2 linked regions of the Caenorhabditis elegans genome follow. The protein of the gene in region 2 interacts with the protein of the main gene of each other region in a pairwise test. Each region holds a gene or a part of one and is shown on either strand. Other genes may lie near its edges.

Evidence for each region.
Region 1: the proteins of ztf-16 (region 2) and sma-2 interact in a two-hybrid assay, tested with the Caenorhabditis elegans proteins (2 studies listed by BioGRID).

The regions. Positions count from the first base shown.
Region 1 is NC_003281.10:8,747,728-8,756,245, forward strand, and holds the start of sma-2 (Dwarfin sma-2), read left to right. Parts: upstream 1-1,952; 5' UTR 1,953-2,136; intron 2,137-2,185; 5' UTR 2,186-2,236; coding exon 2,237-2,239; intron 2,240-2,880; coding exon 2,881-2,932; intron 2,933-3,046; coding exon 3,047-3,150; intron 3,151-3,335; coding exon 3,336-3,413; intron 3,414-4,021; coding exon 4,022-4,320; intron 4,321-4,367; exon of another isoform or gene 4,368-4,572; coding exon of another isoform or gene 4,573-4,711; intron 4,712-4,760; coding exon of another isoform or gene 4,761-4,907; intron 4,908-5,293; coding exon of another isoform or gene 5,294-5,586; intron 5,587-5,635; coding exon of another isoform or gene 5,636-5,698; intron 5,699-5,743; coding exon of another isoform or gene 5,744-5,816; intron 5,817-5,881; coding exon of another isoform or gene 5,882-6,163; intron 6,164-6,210; coding exon of another isoform or gene 6,211-6,374; intron 6,375-6,420; coding exon of another isoform or gene 6,421-6,503; intron 6,504-6,551; coding exon of another isoform or gene 6,552-6,855; intron 6,856-6,901; coding exon of another isoform or gene 6,902-7,018; exon of another isoform or gene 7,019-7,023; intron 7,024-7,164; coding exon of another isoform or gene 7,165-7,238; intron 7,239-7,312; coding exon 7,313-7,626; intron 7,627-7,676; and 4 more. Other genes in the region: ugtp-1 (UDP-galactose translocator 1), read right to left, coding at 1-124, 170-277, 556-680, 885-972; Mitochondrial import receptor subunit tomm-70, read right to left, coding at 4,573-4,711, 4,761-4,907, 5,294-5,586, 5,636-5,698, 5,744-5,816, 5,882-6,163, 6,211-6,374, 6,421-6,503 and 2 more. UniProt on the Caenorhabditis elegans protein: Involved in TGF-beta pathway. Plays a role in male tail tip morphogenesis.
Region 2 is NC_003284.9:4,805,264-4,813,908, forward strand, and holds ztf-16 (Zinc finger protein ztf-16), read right to left. Parts: upstream 6,278-8,645; 5' UTR 6,263-6,277; coding exon 6,190-6,262; intron 5,977-6,189; coding exon 5,921-5,976; intron 5,677-5,920; coding exon 5,532-5,676; intron 5,429-5,531; coding exon 5,337-5,428; intron 4,983-5,336; exon of another isoform or gene 4,845-4,982; intron 4,627-4,844; coding exon 4,558-4,626; intron 4,394-4,557; coding exon 4,304-4,393; intron 4,242-4,303; exon of another isoform or gene 4,101-4,241; intron 3,408-4,100; coding exon 3,183-3,407; intron 2,991-3,182; coding exon 2,811-2,990; intron 2,743-2,810; coding exon 2,617-2,742; intron 2,569-2,616; coding exon 2,365-2,568; coding exon of another isoform or gene 2,281-2,364; intron 1,614-2,280; coding exon 1,431-1,613; 3' UTR 735-1,430; downstream 1-734. UniProt on the Caenorhabditis elegans protein: Positively regulates the expression of ver-1 in the amphid sheath glia of amphid sensory neurons. Together with ehn-3, plays a role in somatic gonad development and is required for proper gonadal primordium assembly and somatic gonad precursor cell morphology.

The sequences.
Region 1 (8,518 bases), on a different chromosome or scaffold from region 2:
AAAGTCCCGCATCCAAATTCGACAATCCCACAAAATCCAAATTATTCTGAAGAGCATACGCAAACGATGGGACACTCATTTTGGCAAGTTCTCGTGGAGCATTTATGTAATATTTACTGACTTGCTGTAAATTATAATTTTAAGATTTCAAAGAATACGGTAGATCTACCTCGGAAAATTGTCTGCTATCAAAGTTACATTCTTTGTAGAACATTGCAAATGTGATCACTAATTTCAAAATTTCGGCACATAAGACTACTGATGTTGAAGAATACATCTGAAATAAAAATGCATACTTTCGAAAAATTGAAATATTTGTATCAATTCTGTGTGTTTTTTTGGTGCTTTGGGATCAAAAAAAAAAAAATTTTTCTTAAAACCGTTTTCACACTTTGGATTTTTTTCAGAAAAGTTAAACATGATTTTTTATATTTCGCTATGAATTATCAATTGTATTTTATTGTCAAACTTTTTGAATTTTGAATTTTGAAAAAAAAAAATTTCTGAAAATTCAATAATCAAAGTCTTCCAAAACTATATTTCAAAATATATTACCATATCTGGATTTACAGTACTCCTTGTGTATTTGATTGTTAATGTGTAAGCTGTCCAAATGAATGTCATACTGGCAATAACATAGCATTTGAAGACAAAACTTGGACGAGATGATGACGGGGATTCTGAAATACTTGGCATTTTGATACAGAGTTTTGAGAAGGAATTATATAAATTTTTAAAATAACATACGAAAACTTAAAAAATGTCGAGAGTAAATTTTCCGATAATTTGTTTTTCGATTTTTTTTTTCAATTTTTACGGAAAGTTTTTTTTTTGAAGAAATACCAAAACTTTTTGAAAACTGTATAATATTAGAAACTTCCTACCATCCGCTTTCTCCACATCCTTATCGTTTGGCAGTAGCTTCTCCTTGTCCTCATCTTGATGTGATATATGTACATTTTGGAATTTCATTCCTGAAAGTTGTATATTTCATAAAAAATAATCAGTAAATATTGAAAAATGCTTTCAGAAAAAAAAAGATAAGAAAATGTGCTATTGGGGTATGATGTCTGATAAAAAGGGTGTATGTTTGTCTAGATCATTCTTCTCTTTTTTATTGTAAAAACGCCACGTTCATGCATAAAATTGAGAGGAAGTATCATTATTCACAAACGCGATGATAAAACCCATGAAATCATTTTTTGATACTTTTTAAAAGACTGAAAAATAGATAGATATTCTCTAGAAATGAAATATTTGAAAATGCATTGAGAACAAAAAAATATAACATTTTCCGATGCTTCCAAGCAACGCTTATGTTCCTTAGCAACATGAATTAACAAAGAAGGAAATTTCAAGGACAAGACACTACTTGACCTTCTGTCAAAGAATCTACTTATGAAAATTCGTTAAAATTGAAATTATATAGAAAATGTAAATATTGAATGAGTGCATAGAGCAGACTAGAAATTTCTATATCTTTTGAGATTCTCGGAATCTTTTCTTTTCAGAAAATTATGCTTTCTGATAAAATTCGGTAATTTGTAAACCATGAAAATCAAAATTTTAGGGCGTGAAATATTTTCTGCTGCAAGAATTTTTCTCTTAATTTAAGCACAAAAGCAACACAATTTCAAAAAAGTGTGTTTTCTGGTGTTCCTTGATCTAGTGAGACCGGTTTTTGCAAAGCCTACCTTCACAACAACCATAGACTATTTTATCCGATGACACCTGGTCCCTTCTCAAACAAAAGTGATGAATATTCCCCAATACCGTTTTCCTTTCAAACATGAATAAATGAATTCCATTAATTCCCTGCTTGGCTCCAGACTGTCGCCCTTCTGCGTCTCTAAGTCTTCCTATTTCAAACACTGTCTCATTTTATATATTCTGAGTCTCTCTACTATACTATGATGTCTAGTTGGCTACTAATGACGATAACGGGGGCGCAGGGACACAAGTTGACTGTCGCCGGGTGGAAACACATCTGTGAAGATGATTGCACAATTTGGAGAGACGGAGAGTTGAAAACAATGAGTAGACAGTTAGACGGTTGATGATGGGCTGGTGAAGCTGAGAACAATTTATGAGATACCAGGCACTTTAGAGAGGCTACAGAGGTAGAAAGAAAAAAAGGTAAAGGAGTGCGCATTTACAGGCTATTTTCAATGTTTCTTATTTATAGAATCTTCTTGTGATCTATTAGTTTTTACAATATTTCAAGAAGATTAGAATCATGGTAAGTTTTTATTTGTATTTAAGAATAAACATTCAAAAAAAATTCGAAATTTTGTAATTCAAATTTTTTAAAGAAAAAAAAAAATAGAATTCAAATTGTTGAACTCAATGAGTCTTTAAAATTTTGAAAAAAATACGAAAATCATTTTTAAAAATTTCAAAAAATGTAGCTACATTTTTTATGTTTTCCTATAAAGAATTTGTTTAAAAATTTCCCAAAATATTGTTGTGAAATAAGAAACTGAAATATCTTCTCGATATTGTCTAACCACTACCAGTTTGTAAAAATTATTATTACTTCCTCAAAACCAGGGCCTTGAGTCCTGGAACGTGTGTAATTTTTCAGCTACAGTACCCCGTGAACACCATAGACTTTGAAATTCTCAGCTTTCAAAGTTTGAACCTTCCGTTTTACATATTTTAATATTTGACGTAGTTTAAACATTTTTCCAAAATATGTGATTTCTACAATAAAATTCTTGAAAAAATCGAGACAAGAGAGACAAATAGTAATAGAGAGTACGGTAGCTGAAAAATTTCATTCGTATCAGAACCCAATTCCCAAGAATTCTTATTTTTCGAAAATAGATAAAATTGTATAACCATTTTTTATTTCACAACAAAAAACCACGAACCTTTCAGATAAACTTCGACGGAATAAAAAAGATCACGGAGAGACTGAAATGGAAACAAGGTAAGTCTCATTTTTGTCCAAAAGACCAATAGGGTGGGGAAATATTACAATCAACGGCGGAAATCTAGAATCGAAACTGAAATCGGATTTCTGACGGAAATAAGTATTTTACAGGAGACGAGGATGAGAATTGGGCAAAAAAGGCGATCGACAACTTGATGAAGAAGCTGATAAAGCATAACAAGCAGGCGTTGGAAAATTTGGAATTCGCGTTGAGGGTTCATGTGTTTTGTGTCTTTTGAATCTTTCAATTTGATCTTAAGATTTCTTTTTTATGAATAGAAATGAAATAATCTAGCAATAGACTACACATACTTTAAACTCGTTAAAAATCAATAAAAACTACATATATCCGATATTTCAATCGTAGAATAACCTCAAATCAATAACTATATCATTTCAGTGCCAAGGACAACAAAAAACCGAATGCGTGACAATTCCGCGGTCACTAGATGGACGACTTCAAATTTCGCATCGAAAGGTGATTTTAGTATAGAATAAGAGAATAATGGGGAGAAGAAGTAAACAAATTCAAAATGAAGGGGTGCCCTATTTGTTTATGAACATCAACTAGAAACAGAGACAGACTTACTTATTCGATTAATCGACCGACTAGATTTTGAAAAATGATATTAAATTTTTAAATTGTAAAATTGTGTCAACTAGTCGTTTGAACAATTTCAAAAATTGATTTGATCTTTTTTGATTTTATGGGCAAAAGTCCACGTGTCAGTCCCATTTGCATTTTTAATTTATAAATTTGCATAATTTCTACAGTACATCCTAACGATATTAGAAAAAACATAGATTTTTCTGCTAATTTTTTGATATTTTCACAAAAATTACACCAGCCAAAACTTAACCTAGATTATGAAAAATCATATTAAATTTATGAAATTTAAAAGTTTAAAAAATTTATAAACGTTAGCTGATCTTTTGTTCGATTTTCAATTTTTTTTGAAATGAAGCTTCTTCGTGAAATGCTTGTTTGAACAGCTGGAGATTATCATTTTTCACAGAAAATTCAAATAATCCACTCTGAGAAAAAATGTTAGGAACAATTCCAAATCCTATGTACTAAAAATTCAGGCACTTCCTCATGTGATATATTGCCGTGTCTATCGTTGGCCAGATCTTCAATCACATCATGAATTGAAAGCAATTGAAGATTGCCGATTCTGCTACGAATCAGGGCAAAAGGATATTTGCATTAATCCATATCATTACAAAAGAGTTCATGCAACTGGAGTACTTCCACCAGTTCTTGTACCTCGTTATTCCGAGAAACCACCACAAGAAGTGCCCCCAACTCTGGCGAAATTTCAGTTGATGGAGATGAGCGGATCAAGAATGCCGCAGAATGTCAATATGGCAAACGTTAATTTTACGTAAGTGTTTAAAAAATATATGGTATTACTGATTGAAGAAAAATTGAAATATCTGGTATTTATGAGATTATCGGGAACAAAAAAACAAAAAAGCGAAGAATAAAATAAGAAAACGAACACAGTAGGTAAGGAACGGAACTGGAAAACGGATGGGTTGATTTTGAGAAACCCGAAAACTTAAAAAAAAAACGGGGAAATGAGGGGAAAAACAGGTAACAAAGCAGCCTATCAACTATTCAAAAATTCTTTAAATTAATACATATCGAGCATTTCAGCTGCACGTTTCTTAGCATTCATCAATGGAATCATTCTCTTCAACATGAGAAGTTCTCGTGGTGGGGCAAATAGAGCTGCATTTCGAATTGATTCCATTGCTCGCTCGTAATTTTCTCTGAAAGGACTTGGATTTTTTAGTGGAACTCTGAAACTTTTTTACTTACTTCTTGATCATCGGCTCTGGCCCGTTAGTTCCCAAAAGATGAAGAACGTGAGCCGAGAAATTGAATGGATCAACTGCAATTGCTGCGTTGGCACTTTCAGTTGTCAATCTGAGTCGTTCAGCTTCTGGTTTGTGCACGTGGAGATCACTGGAAAATTAATTGTATTTAACGTAGAACTTAGAAGCCGATGGGAATTTCAATTTAAAATTCGCAGGCTGGTCCCTAATGACGTGATTGAACAAAAAATTCGCACTTTTTGATTTTTCAACTTTCCGATAGCTTAAATTTTTGCCATTTTCCTTCCTTTTAAAAGAAAATTATACTTCTTCTTTTTTCAACAACAGAAACAAAATTTATTTCAAAAATCGAATTTTATGAGTATATTCTTCGATTCTTTTTTTTTTTTTTTTGAAAAAAATCGAAAAGTCAAAAAAAATTTTTAATTTTCGATTTTTTGTTTTATTTTTTTTTTCATAAAATCTCGGCAACTGGTACCAGTCGGCGAATTTCAGAAAATTAAAATCTAAACTTACGCAGTCTGCAAATGCCTACTTGGCACCAAATATCTCGTAGTAATCCTTGCAGCCTCTTCGAGCAACTTCTTCGAGCTCTCCTCATTATTAGTCATCATATATACTTTGGACATAAGAACCAGATTGAAATGAGTAGATCTACTCTCTGCGAGTTCTTCCATTTCTCGGATTCGTCGATGAACATCAGCGTAGTCTTCGCTGGTACACAACTTCAGGAATGTAACAATCATGGAAAGATGTGGAGTGAGAGTTCCGTTCTTTTCAGCTTCTGTGAGAAGTCTATTGGCATTGTTCTGGAAAATTAAATAATTATAAATAAGAAAATTATGAATTTAAATTTACTGTATCCGCCATCATTTGTTGCTCATGATTCGTCACTGCTGTATCGAGAACACATCCATTATACTGAAACCATATTTTTAGAGAATAAAAATGATTTAATCGAATTACCACAAAAATAGATGCAAACGAATAAAGTTTGAAAAGTCTTTCCTTATCGTCTTTTGGAACTGATTCCAGGAATCTGAAAATTAGAAAAAATTAGACAAGACCTGGAAATATTTTGGAAAATCAAGAAAAAAAACTAACTTATCCAAATCTGCCATAGTATACATTAGCTCAATCTTGAGAATATCGAAAGCATCTCTCATTAGTTTTTTGCGTTCCTCATCCTCTTCTGATCCAATCAGTTCGTTAATTTTTGCTCCAACTTTATCGATATATCTCGTTGCCTCGTTAGGATCAGTACTGTAGCTTAGCATTTTTCCACGCAAGATCATTGCCGGAGGATAGCTGTTTTCCTCAGTAAGCAGATCAATCAGTTCTTCGTATTTTCCTTTTTTGAACTTTTCCAGTGCAAGTTGGTATTGTCTGAAATTTATAATTATTTTTACTGTATATCTAGAATTAGAGCTTACTTCTGGTCTTCACTGAGCACTTCTGGTTCGAATCTGGTGAGATCTGTTTTGAAAAGATCAAGAATATCCCAAGTATCACACCACTGCTGAATTCTGAACAAAGCTACTGGCTGTGGCTTAACATCTTCGATTTTGAGTGGTTTTCCAATGTGACAGTCGGACATCTAGAATAAAAAGTTGAGTTTCTTTAAGAAATTGTTAGGCTCTTACGGGTTCTATAGCAAGAAGCTTTCCAAAGAATTCGAAATTCGTCTTATTCAGGCTAGAATCCAAAGTGAACGCGGCAAGAAGATCTAAAAACAGGAATTGATACTTTTCTCGTAACATCTTCAGAAACTCACACGCCAGAGCATCCTGTTTCTTTCCGACGTCATTAAGTGCTTTTGCTGCTCTCAAGTATGCTTTGGTGTATTTTTTGTCTACTTTCAATGCAGCCATACAGTCGTTGAGGATATCAAAAGGGCTGTGTCCAACCTTTTCACGACAGGCTGCACGATTTTGGTAGAGCATTGCGACAATTTGATCAGAAGAGTTTGGTCCGGCCTTTTCGACTCCTTTTGTGAATGCTTCTAGTGCGGAATCGTATTGTTTCTCTTTAAACTTCAAATTTCCCAATGCTTTTATTTCCTCCAAGTCCCTTTCCAGCTGAAATTAGTTTTGAAATTGATATCATTGTACACTAGAAACTCACGTCTGAACCTCCAAAACTCTTATATACCAAGTATCCTACACCTGCAACTGTCGCTGCAGCTGCCACACCGATCAGCACTTTTTTCGTTTGGTCGCTGATTCCAGTCGTTTCGACCATTATATCTACAAAATAATAAATAGATAAATGATATAAGTTAAGATTAAGTTAGAAAAATTGAGAATTCAAAGAGAATGAAGAAAAATTGGTAAAATGATGTAAAATTTCAGTGATAAGAAAAGTAGGCAATATTTACGATAAACAGCATGCGGTGGAATTCCGGAGTATCGTCGCAAGTTGTAAATAAAATTGGATCCAAAATAACTTTGAGAGGGAAAAGGTTACGAAAAGAAAAAAAGGTTGAAATATTATCAATATATTTTCTAATTAGGGATTTAATAAATAATTTTCTAGAGCCAACCAATTTCATCAATACAATCCAAATGGAATTGAGGAAATGGATACTTCTCAGAAATTCGACATTCCACCAGGAGTTCCAACATGTCTCGTGCCATTCGATAAAGTTTGGGAAGAACAATTCTGGGCAACTGTTAGCTATTATGAATTGAATACAAGAGTCGGAGAACAGGTTAAAGTGTCTTCAACAACTATAACTATCGATGGATTCACTGATCCATGCATCAATGGAAGCAAAATTAGCCTGGGACTGTTTTCGAATGTAAATCGAAATGCAACTATTGAAAATACAAGAAGACATATTGGAAACGGTAAGAGCACCCACGGCCTCGCCACGAACGAATTACTTTCAAATCAAGGCCGAGCAAAACACGCGTGCGCCTTCAAGAAGTACAGTAACCTGATTTTCGGGAGATTGGGTACCGTACTTCGGCGCATAATTTTTGCAAGACTATGACTAAAAAATTGAAAATTTTCAAACTTTTTGTAATTCCAGGTGTCAAGCTAACCTACGTACGTAGCAATGGCTCACTCTTTGCTCAATGTGAAAGTGATTCAGCTATATTCGTACAATCTAGTAATTGTAATTATATCAATGGATTTCACTCAACAACTGTTGTTAAAATTGCAAATAAGTGTTCACTGAAGATTTTCGATATGGAGATTTTTAGACAGGTAAGCTAATTCACGTAATTGCAATGTTTGAGTCAAGAAAAGGTCTCGTCACGCACAAAATAACTTAAAATTGCAGTCTCACAGCAATATGTGTACCTTTAAGCAGTACGGTAGCCTATTCTTATACTTTTTGAAAAAAACTGGGTTACTGTACTTTTTAAAGGTACACACATTAAAACTGGCGAAGCCATGTTCTTGGGCAAAAAATAGTAACTGAAACTATTAGGTCTCCAAATAAGTTCCGGGTCAAAAATCATAACTTTGTTCACTGCGTATCGATTTTTATGAAACTGTGGGAATTTATGTTATCAACCATGATCTTTCATTTGACAATAGTCACAAAATTTTTTTGCCGTCCGAAGTGCCCTAACTCGGAGCCAAATTTTTCAGGCATTTTTCAGATCTCGCTTCTTTTACGTTTTGATTTGAGGTTCGTGTGCGGATTTAGCTTTGTTTAGTACACAATGTAAGAAAACAAGAAAAGTTTGGAAAAAATCCGTTAAAAAAAAAATTTTTTTTGTCGGTCGT
Region 2 (8,645 bases):
ATCAAACTGAATATTCATAAAACGATATTTTAAAAAGCACCGGAATTTTTGTTTTTATTGTTTTCTGAATTTTTAAAATTCATAAAATGTAAAAATGTAACATTTGTTTATAGTTCAAAAAATATATTCAACAAAATTTTTTGAAAATTTTTTGTGCATAAAATTGTGAGGAAAAAATTGCAAAATTTCAGAATCCAGCAAGCTAATTTTTCATTCATCAAATTATGTGAATAAACATGAATTTTTAGGTTTAATGCGAAATTGTAAAAAAAATATGGCAAAAACTGGAAACTTCGCCAACCGTGTTTCTCAATCATGTTCTGTCAGATAACTGACGAAAGGCACCTGCAATTTGTGTTGTGATAGTTCTACTTTTTATCAATCTGCTAACAAATATAGATGCAGTTTGAAATAAAACAACAACCCATAAATAGTTCAAATGTCCTTACAAATGGCTATAAATAAAACTGATCTAGTAGTCGCTAATCTTGACAAAAATATGAGAAAGAGAGCCACTATTGTTGGTCCTGCAGAGCACAATGTTGATGCATTGGGTTCTTGGCAAGTCCCCGTGGGACACTGCCCAACTGAACCGGATTGTCCGTAGTGAGCAGCACACGACTCATAACCATATACGCTGGGCCAATGTCAATCACAGACTGCCTGCCAATCCATTTAGCCGTTTTCCTAGCCACCATGACTTTTTTCTAGTATTCTATTCTCCAGTATGTTTTCAACAAAATTTATTTTGAAATGGGAAGAAAATTGATGGGACAGTGGGACAGAGAGAAAGCTTGATAAAATTACTATTCTAATCGGAAAGAAATGTTTGGGATGGGTGGAACAGATAAGGAGGCCTTCAAAAATTCTGAATATCAGTTGAAGTTCACTAGTTTAAAATACATTCGAAGAAATCATTGAAATTGTACAAATTTTGATGAGGGGTGGTGGTGAGAAAGGAAAATAAAACACTAACAACAAAAACCTAACAATGCAAGGTTACGGAAAAAATTAACGGGTCCAAAATGACTTTTGACACGTGTGCAAATGAATTGAAACAAGATAGAGAGCAGAATCAGGAGAAGATGAAGAAAGTTTTTAAAAATGTAAATAATGATATTTGATGGTTTAATATTGATGAGAAATAGACAAAAACACGGGGCAAATACTTTTGATAGAGACAAAGAGCTGTTGAGAATCAATGAGAAGAAGCAGAATCATTCGTTGTTTCCCTGTTATGAAGAAAGAAAGTGACAAATAAAGAGGTAATCAGAATTGACTGTGAATATGCATCGAAAAAAACCGAAGAAAACCGAAAAAAAAAACAAAAATTAAAATGTGGATGAAAGAATGGGGGTGTTTTGGATTCGCTAGACTGACTACTAAAACTGAAAGGCAATCGGGGGGATATTTCTTGGATGATGGTGAATTCAGGCGGAAGTCGTTGCTTGAGTACTATGATCGGCAAAAATGACATGAGTAGTGAACATGTACTTCTCGCCGCACTGAGTTCCGCACAATGCGCATTTGAAAGGATCACCGTCCGAGTGAAGACTTTTATGGAGCAGGTACATTGTGTTGTCGTAGAACATCATTCCGCAATGACAGCATTCCTAAAATAATTCTAGAGTTAGATGCCATTAAATGAGTAACGGTTATGAGTGTTTTGAGTATATATACAGAAAGCGCACGAATTAACGAGCTTTGCAATGAAGTTTCTAACAGAAACTTTTTAAAAAGTTTTTTTTAATCGAAATTTGAATTTTTGAAAAAACCTGCCAAATTCTAGCTAAAAACTGCAGCAGTCCGAACTTTTTTTTGAATGGTATCAGCTGCTGCGAACCGGAAAAGGCAAAGGCCGGGCTTTTAGCTAAAATTAACTCTTTTTTTTTGAAATTTTTTGAGAAGTCTCATTGCAAAATGTTCAAAATACCTAAAACCTATAGTTTTCCTTTAAATTCAAATTTCGGAAGAGAAAGTTGATAGTTCTGATAAGGTGGGTGATGTAGAGAATCCATCATCCTTCAGATTTCAAAGAAAACTTGTGACATCTACGAGAAATTGAAAACCTCCTCATCAAACTATACATGGTGTAATGTTCGGTTTTTCTATCTCTTTTTTTAGATTTTTTCTCAAATGAGAACGTTCCGAAAGTTGCAACAAATTGGCAATCATTTAATCAGTCTATGTTTTTAAGGTTGATAAAACCAAATTTTGGCATCAACAAAGAAATGGATCAAAAGTCCCAATTTTTGGAAAAAAAAACTCTGTTGACGATGCTCACAATTCTAATTGCACTTCGAAAAAAGGTAAACAAAATGGTGACATTTTCAATAACAAGTTGTTATTAGCGATAACACATACCACATTCTCCTCGTCTTCTTTTTCGGGAGTCGGTGATTTCTCTTTTTCAGTTAACGAAAGTGATGACTCATTGGCTGGCGGCGAGTGCGACTGTTCACTCGGACTTGGAGCACTGACACTCACAGAGCTTGACGTCTGCTCTGACCAGAGTTGCACCTGATCCTGCTTCACAATCGCTGCCACTGCTGGAATGTTGTGAAGAGCCTGAAATGCAAAGGTTAATTAGCGAAAGTGTGAAGGTTTCATTGATACCGGCAATGGAATATTTGGAATGTTGAGCATTGGTCTTGGGATGTTTTCTCCGAATCCATTGAACTGGTTCATTTGGTTTAGACACATCAACAAAATATCTGGGTTAGCCATAGGGAAGCTTGGTGGCTGAAAATAAAACCATGGAATCATGGAAATGCTTTTTATTCAAAAAGAAACGAAAGAAAGATTCTTACAATTTTGTCGAATTCAGAACTTGTGGAGTTATCGGAGGTGTCGGTGTTTGGAGGGCTAAACTCTGATTTCACCATTCTTTGCAACTGTTCTGTTATGCTCATGTTCGCAGGATCCATTGGCAAAGCATTTCCATTCGACAGCTTCTTCCTTTTTGGCGTGTTTTCTTTTTTCGGAGAAGACTGAAAATCAGAATGAGAAATAAGAGTTCACGTTCAGGATATCACATGATGAGAGAGATTCCACGGAAAGTGCGTCTCTTGGGGCAACCGAATTAAGCTCCGAGAACGAGAAAAACATCACCTAATAAGGCTCAGGTTCTGCTCGCTAATCATGTGTTACGTTTCCGTGTAATCTGAAGTTACATCTCTTACCTCAGAATCGTCATGTCTTGTCTGGAAATGAAGGAGAAGACGTCGCGAATTGGCGAACATCAAATTACATCGCTTACATGACGCGGGATTTGTTGACGAAATTGTGTGCGTTTCTTCCAAGTGTGCTCGGAGTGCATTGTGCTGACTAAACTGCATGTTACATTGTGATACTGGACAGTCGAAACCAAAACCCGTTTTGATATGTGTCATTGAATGCTCTTGCATCTGAAAGTTATAGGTTTATTTTAAGTTACATGTTTAAAACATGACTACGGTATGTTTTTAACATCTAAAAATCGGTTTTCACTTTCACACAATATTACAATTTACAATTTTCTCTGGTTTTCTCCTCGCCCCGCAACCTTTGTCTTTCATTATAAAAACCCCTTTTGATGCGAGCGAGGGTGATGGCTTTCAACTTTTCGGGAACCAATCAGAGACGCAGCTAGAACAAAAAAAAAACCGCCGACGGTTGGTATTTCTTCTTTTTTTTACTGATTGGCCCTGGGGGTAAGGTACACAGTAAAGAGCGGCAAAAATATGGAGACATCGAGAAGATGCTAGAAGGTAGGATGGGAGGTAGGATCTTCCGAAGAAAATGCGCGTGCTATCGTCAAGGTCTTTTACTTCTCATCTTCACCAACGTCGTCGGATAGTATGAAGAATCGGAGAAGAAAGACGCGCCAACCGTTTTCATATTCGACGGCATAACCTGACACCAATACCGTCAAATTGGTTCCCCCCGATTTTCCTGTTTTCTTCAGGCTCGTCGACCTTCAAGAACGGTTTTGGGCAAACAGATATCATCAGAGCGCTTGAAGAAATGGTTGATGGGCACTGCGGCAGTTCCCTGCCATCCATGGAAGAGACTCTTCTTATTTCCGGGAAAGTGAAAATATCCAAATTGAAAACGACCTTCAGGCGGCAATCCGCCGCCTCCTTCTTCCCTCAATTTCCCTTTCCTTACGGGAGATCAGTTTCACTTTCCATTTGATTACGTAAATTGAAGATAAAACACGATTTTTGAGTTACGGAAGGCGGCAGCGGCTTCTTACGCAACAGCCGTTAAATGGTGGGGCTAGGAGGTGGAGGGTAATAAAAAATATGCCAGACAAGCATACCTGATCTTTCCTGAAAAATCGTTTTTTGCAAAAACGACACTCGTATGGCTTCACACCGCTGTGGCGCATCCGATGACGATGCATGTTAGCCTGAAAACGCAACATTGATAAACCACAGGAAGAAAGTGAAAAGGGAATCAAAGAAGAAGATCAATCAGCACGATAACCATACTTGGAAAATCCAAATGATTCAAAAGTTGTCGAGTGTTTGAAAACCAGATTCCGATTCAGAAAATGTTTTAAAAATTGCTCACCTTCTGGCTGAACTGCATTTTACAGATGTCGCATTGGTACATTTGGCCTTGATGGCGTTCATGCGCTTCCTGAAATGTTCAAGAATCTTCACTGGTATGTCATGTGATTTCTAAGGTCATCACGTTTTTTGTACTGCCCCCGTATCTGGTCTTCCCGTTTCTTTTTCCAAAAACGCCTCTTTTTCCTCCCATCTTCTTCCACCCATCCCAATCTCTACCGCTTGATGTCACTACATAACCGAAAAAGGGAAAATCTATGTTTTTTTTGGTTTGGTTTCTCGGAAGATTCTGCCTTAACCAATTAGTATGACACCGGCTCACATGAAAGGCAACATCCTTAAGAAGAAAAGCCAATATATGAGGAGCCTGCCTCCTTCTCCCATACCACTCCACTACTACTCATCCCGATGACCGTTCGGGAAGTGATGGGATTGGCCGTCGGAACAAAAAACAGTAGGGTCAAGTGAGAGACGCAGTTAACTGGACAGTAGATAGAAAGTAAACAGTAGTTTGTGAGAAAAGCGGCATGGAGCGAGTGGGAGAAGAGAAAAGGTTCACGGAGTGTTGACTTACAGGACCCACCTTACAAGGAATTGATGAAAAGTGGAAAAGAGGGAAATTGAAAAGACTTTCATATCCATCAACAGATTTACATGCTAAAATTAATTTGTACCCTTGGGAACATGCGTAATAATGTACTGAAAGTATCTTTCACTCTTCCGTCACCTATAGAACAAGAGAATGCTTTCAAGAAAACGGGTAAAAATCCTTGAACCTACCAAGTGGCTTTTCATGTGTTGCGACATACAAGTGGTGAAATTACAGTGCGGGCAAACGTGAACCGTCTTTTGTCCTTTGGTGCCTGGTTCTTCTGAAATTTTTAGGTTTCACAATTGCATATTGGTACTTGGTAATTAACCATCAATAGAAATACATTCCAGTGTGTAAGAAAATGCAATTCAAAGAAAACTTACTTTTGATGAGAGTGTTTGTGATTTCTGTTATCGAAATGTGATGTTCAAGATGTTCATCCGAGTCCGGACTCGGCGTTGGATCTGAAGGGGGCGTGGACCGTGGCGACGGCGTGGACGACTGAATACCATCTCCCCACTCGATTGTCTGAAAAGCCTTGGTCTCAATGTTTCTAACGAGTCTCAGGGGGCATGTCTGGAAGACGTGTTACAACGTCACATCCAACATCCCTCCCCTCTTCATTTTTTCCACGTTCTGTTGTTCCCTCACATATCTTCTCTACCTCTGGCACTAATTAGGCAAATATGGCATTATGACGCAACCTTTTTTCTATATCTCTCACTCACACGCTCTCACTCTTCTGGATGAATTTTACTCTCCCATAACATACCTGCGAGTTAGACATTTCTCCGCTTGAAGACCTGCTGTGCTCGTTTTCGTGCTTCTCTGCAAAAAAAAAGTATTAGGGGGTAATGTTGCTAAATGTGAAACGCAATAGAAGCGGGTTAGTTAATGGGTTGAAGCGCTCACTAAACCGCTACAAATCCGAATTTTTACGGGTTTGTCTCCGTTCTAAGATGAAAAAAAGATGGACAAAGCGCGGGTAGGTGGATGTTTCAAACGAATTGGCATTCATGTATCACCGAACAGGTTGGTTACCTATATGTCCTTGAAACTCGGAAAATACAGTAGTCGTGAATCCGCATTCTGTGCAAGCGTTCAGTTCATCCATTGTTGAGATCACTGAAATGATAACCATAGCAAAATGAAAAACCCTGACAGGGAATATCTGGTAATGAGACGAAAATGGGCGACAAAAAGAAGAACAACGAGGAAAAATAGGGGAAAAAAGCGAGGAATATGGCACGACGAGACTTGCACACAATAATCAGGTGTGTTTACGGATGGCAGAAGATAAGAAAGGAAATGTATAGGAAATGGTAACAGGCGGATATAGGAATATATGGGAAAATTGGAAAATGGAAATACTAAGAGTGACTGGAAAAATATGTATTATCGGAGCGAAAAAAGCGGAGGAGGGGGAAAAGGAGGAGCCGGATCCATAGGTATGATCACATTGACAAGCATTTACAACGGCTCGCCAAATTACTGGTTACGCGCCTGGATACGAATTTGGGGAGTAGGCAGTAATTTATGGATAGCCAGCTTCTTTAGCAACCACTGCGAGTTGGACTTGTTATGAGTGTGTTTGATTTAGCGAGAGCCTGGTCCACGGTTTTGAGAGCAGCTAGGTGACCTCGCCTAGTTGTTTGTCGTCTCGCGGCGGCGGAGGCGAAGAAGGACCGAGATACGGTTTCCGGGTTTGGCCAAACATCTCAACCCGATGCCTCCCCGTGTACTCCATAAGCTGCTTCTCCGGATTTGACTTGCACTCATAGCGACGAGCTACTGTGTGCTTACTATATTTGTAAGAGAAGTGGTAAAGTGTGTATTCGCTGGGCAGTAGGTATCTTACGGACCTTTACGAGGAGCAATAAGAAAAAAAAGTTGATGAACATTAAAAAAAACAGGAGGAACTAATATGGATTAATTATCGCATCCAGACATGGTGTGTAAGATACGAAACATCAAAACATATATACTATTACACAAAATTTGCATCATAAACACGAAAAAGAGATTTGATGGATTGGGTGGATAGGGTAAAAATGTTATAAAATGAAAATTTTCAATGATCAAAATCTGAAACCAGCACAAAAATAAGATTCAGGAACCTGAGAAAAAAGAACAGGATCTCAAGGAAGGCAAAGTAATGCCAGGTGGATTATAGCACAATTATGTTGATGATTGCATGGCTGTGTGTCTATACTGGATTACTGTCAATTGCGCGTAACCACCACTACAAGTTCGAGACTAGCAGGAAGGTGGTCTAGATGGACAGATGGTGCTAACAGGTAATTGAGATGGGTGAAGTGACTGGAGAGCAAACTCGCATCTAGTATGACGTTACGTTTGCGGAGGAGAACGGTAAGATTGCGATACATAAATCTAGGTTCTATGTTTTAGGTTCTAGGATAGGAAGAGAAATTTGGGGTGTGAGGAATGGTGGGGAGCAAATATGGAGTGAAGGAATCTCTGGGGGTGGGGCACCGCAGGCATTGGATACGGTAGAACTAAAAGTGCAAAAGCTGGCAAACTGATATGGGGCGGATTACACCTGGGGGTGGCAGGGCGGAAAAACGACTTTACGCGGATGGCAATGAAAAAATGAGATGGCGGGGATCGAGGGGGGGAGGAGGTGACGGTTTCTGAATGGCATTTACAAGAAGAGAGAAAGGGGGTGAGATAGTGCGTGTGTCGCGGGGTGCCAAACAAGCTTTTTTGGGAATACGATGAAGAAAAAAGAAGAAAAACGATGTAGAAGAAGAAACTGTCGATGGCAGCAGCAGCGGCAGTGGCGGCAGGCAGCAACGGGCATCATCTCTATCTGTCGCCCGGGGGCGCAAGATGTAAAGAAAAAATCGAGCTGCGCGCACCTCATCAGAAAAACGCAGCGCCCACCCCCACACACACACACACACTCACACCGTTTCGTTCGGAAGAAAGAGAATGAAAAAATTGGAGAGAAGGCACTGGGGGAGAGGGGATGCCGTTGCGGGTGGCCTAGAAGGTCGGCAAGGTTAAAGTGAAGACGACGGGATCTTTTCAGACCATACTAGCTGCAGCAGGGAGACTTCCTCCCTCTCCGCACTATGTCTCCTCCTTACGATGGAGAAAAAAACCCGGTTTTTTGTGGCAGTGAGAAGAGCGTCTGGAACATAGTAATGACCTTCCAATAGATAAGGCATGTGGAATTACAATTGGATGAACATTTGGGAAAACGTCAAATGTAGATAAAAAATTGGAGGGAGAACAAGTGATTTTGACGATCTCGTGGTTTTCCAAGGATTATATATCATTCTAACATTATCTCTGTGGTTTTTTGTCCGTTCGGAAATGTTACAAAATTAGAAGACAAGGATGTTAGGAGAAGGTGTGAATGCTTGCATATGTGTCTTCTTCCTGTATGTTTTGTTGTTTCGTCTGAACGTATGATCAAGTCAAACATCTACAGTGTCACGAAGATTTTAGTTCCGAAATTGATTTTAATTTTC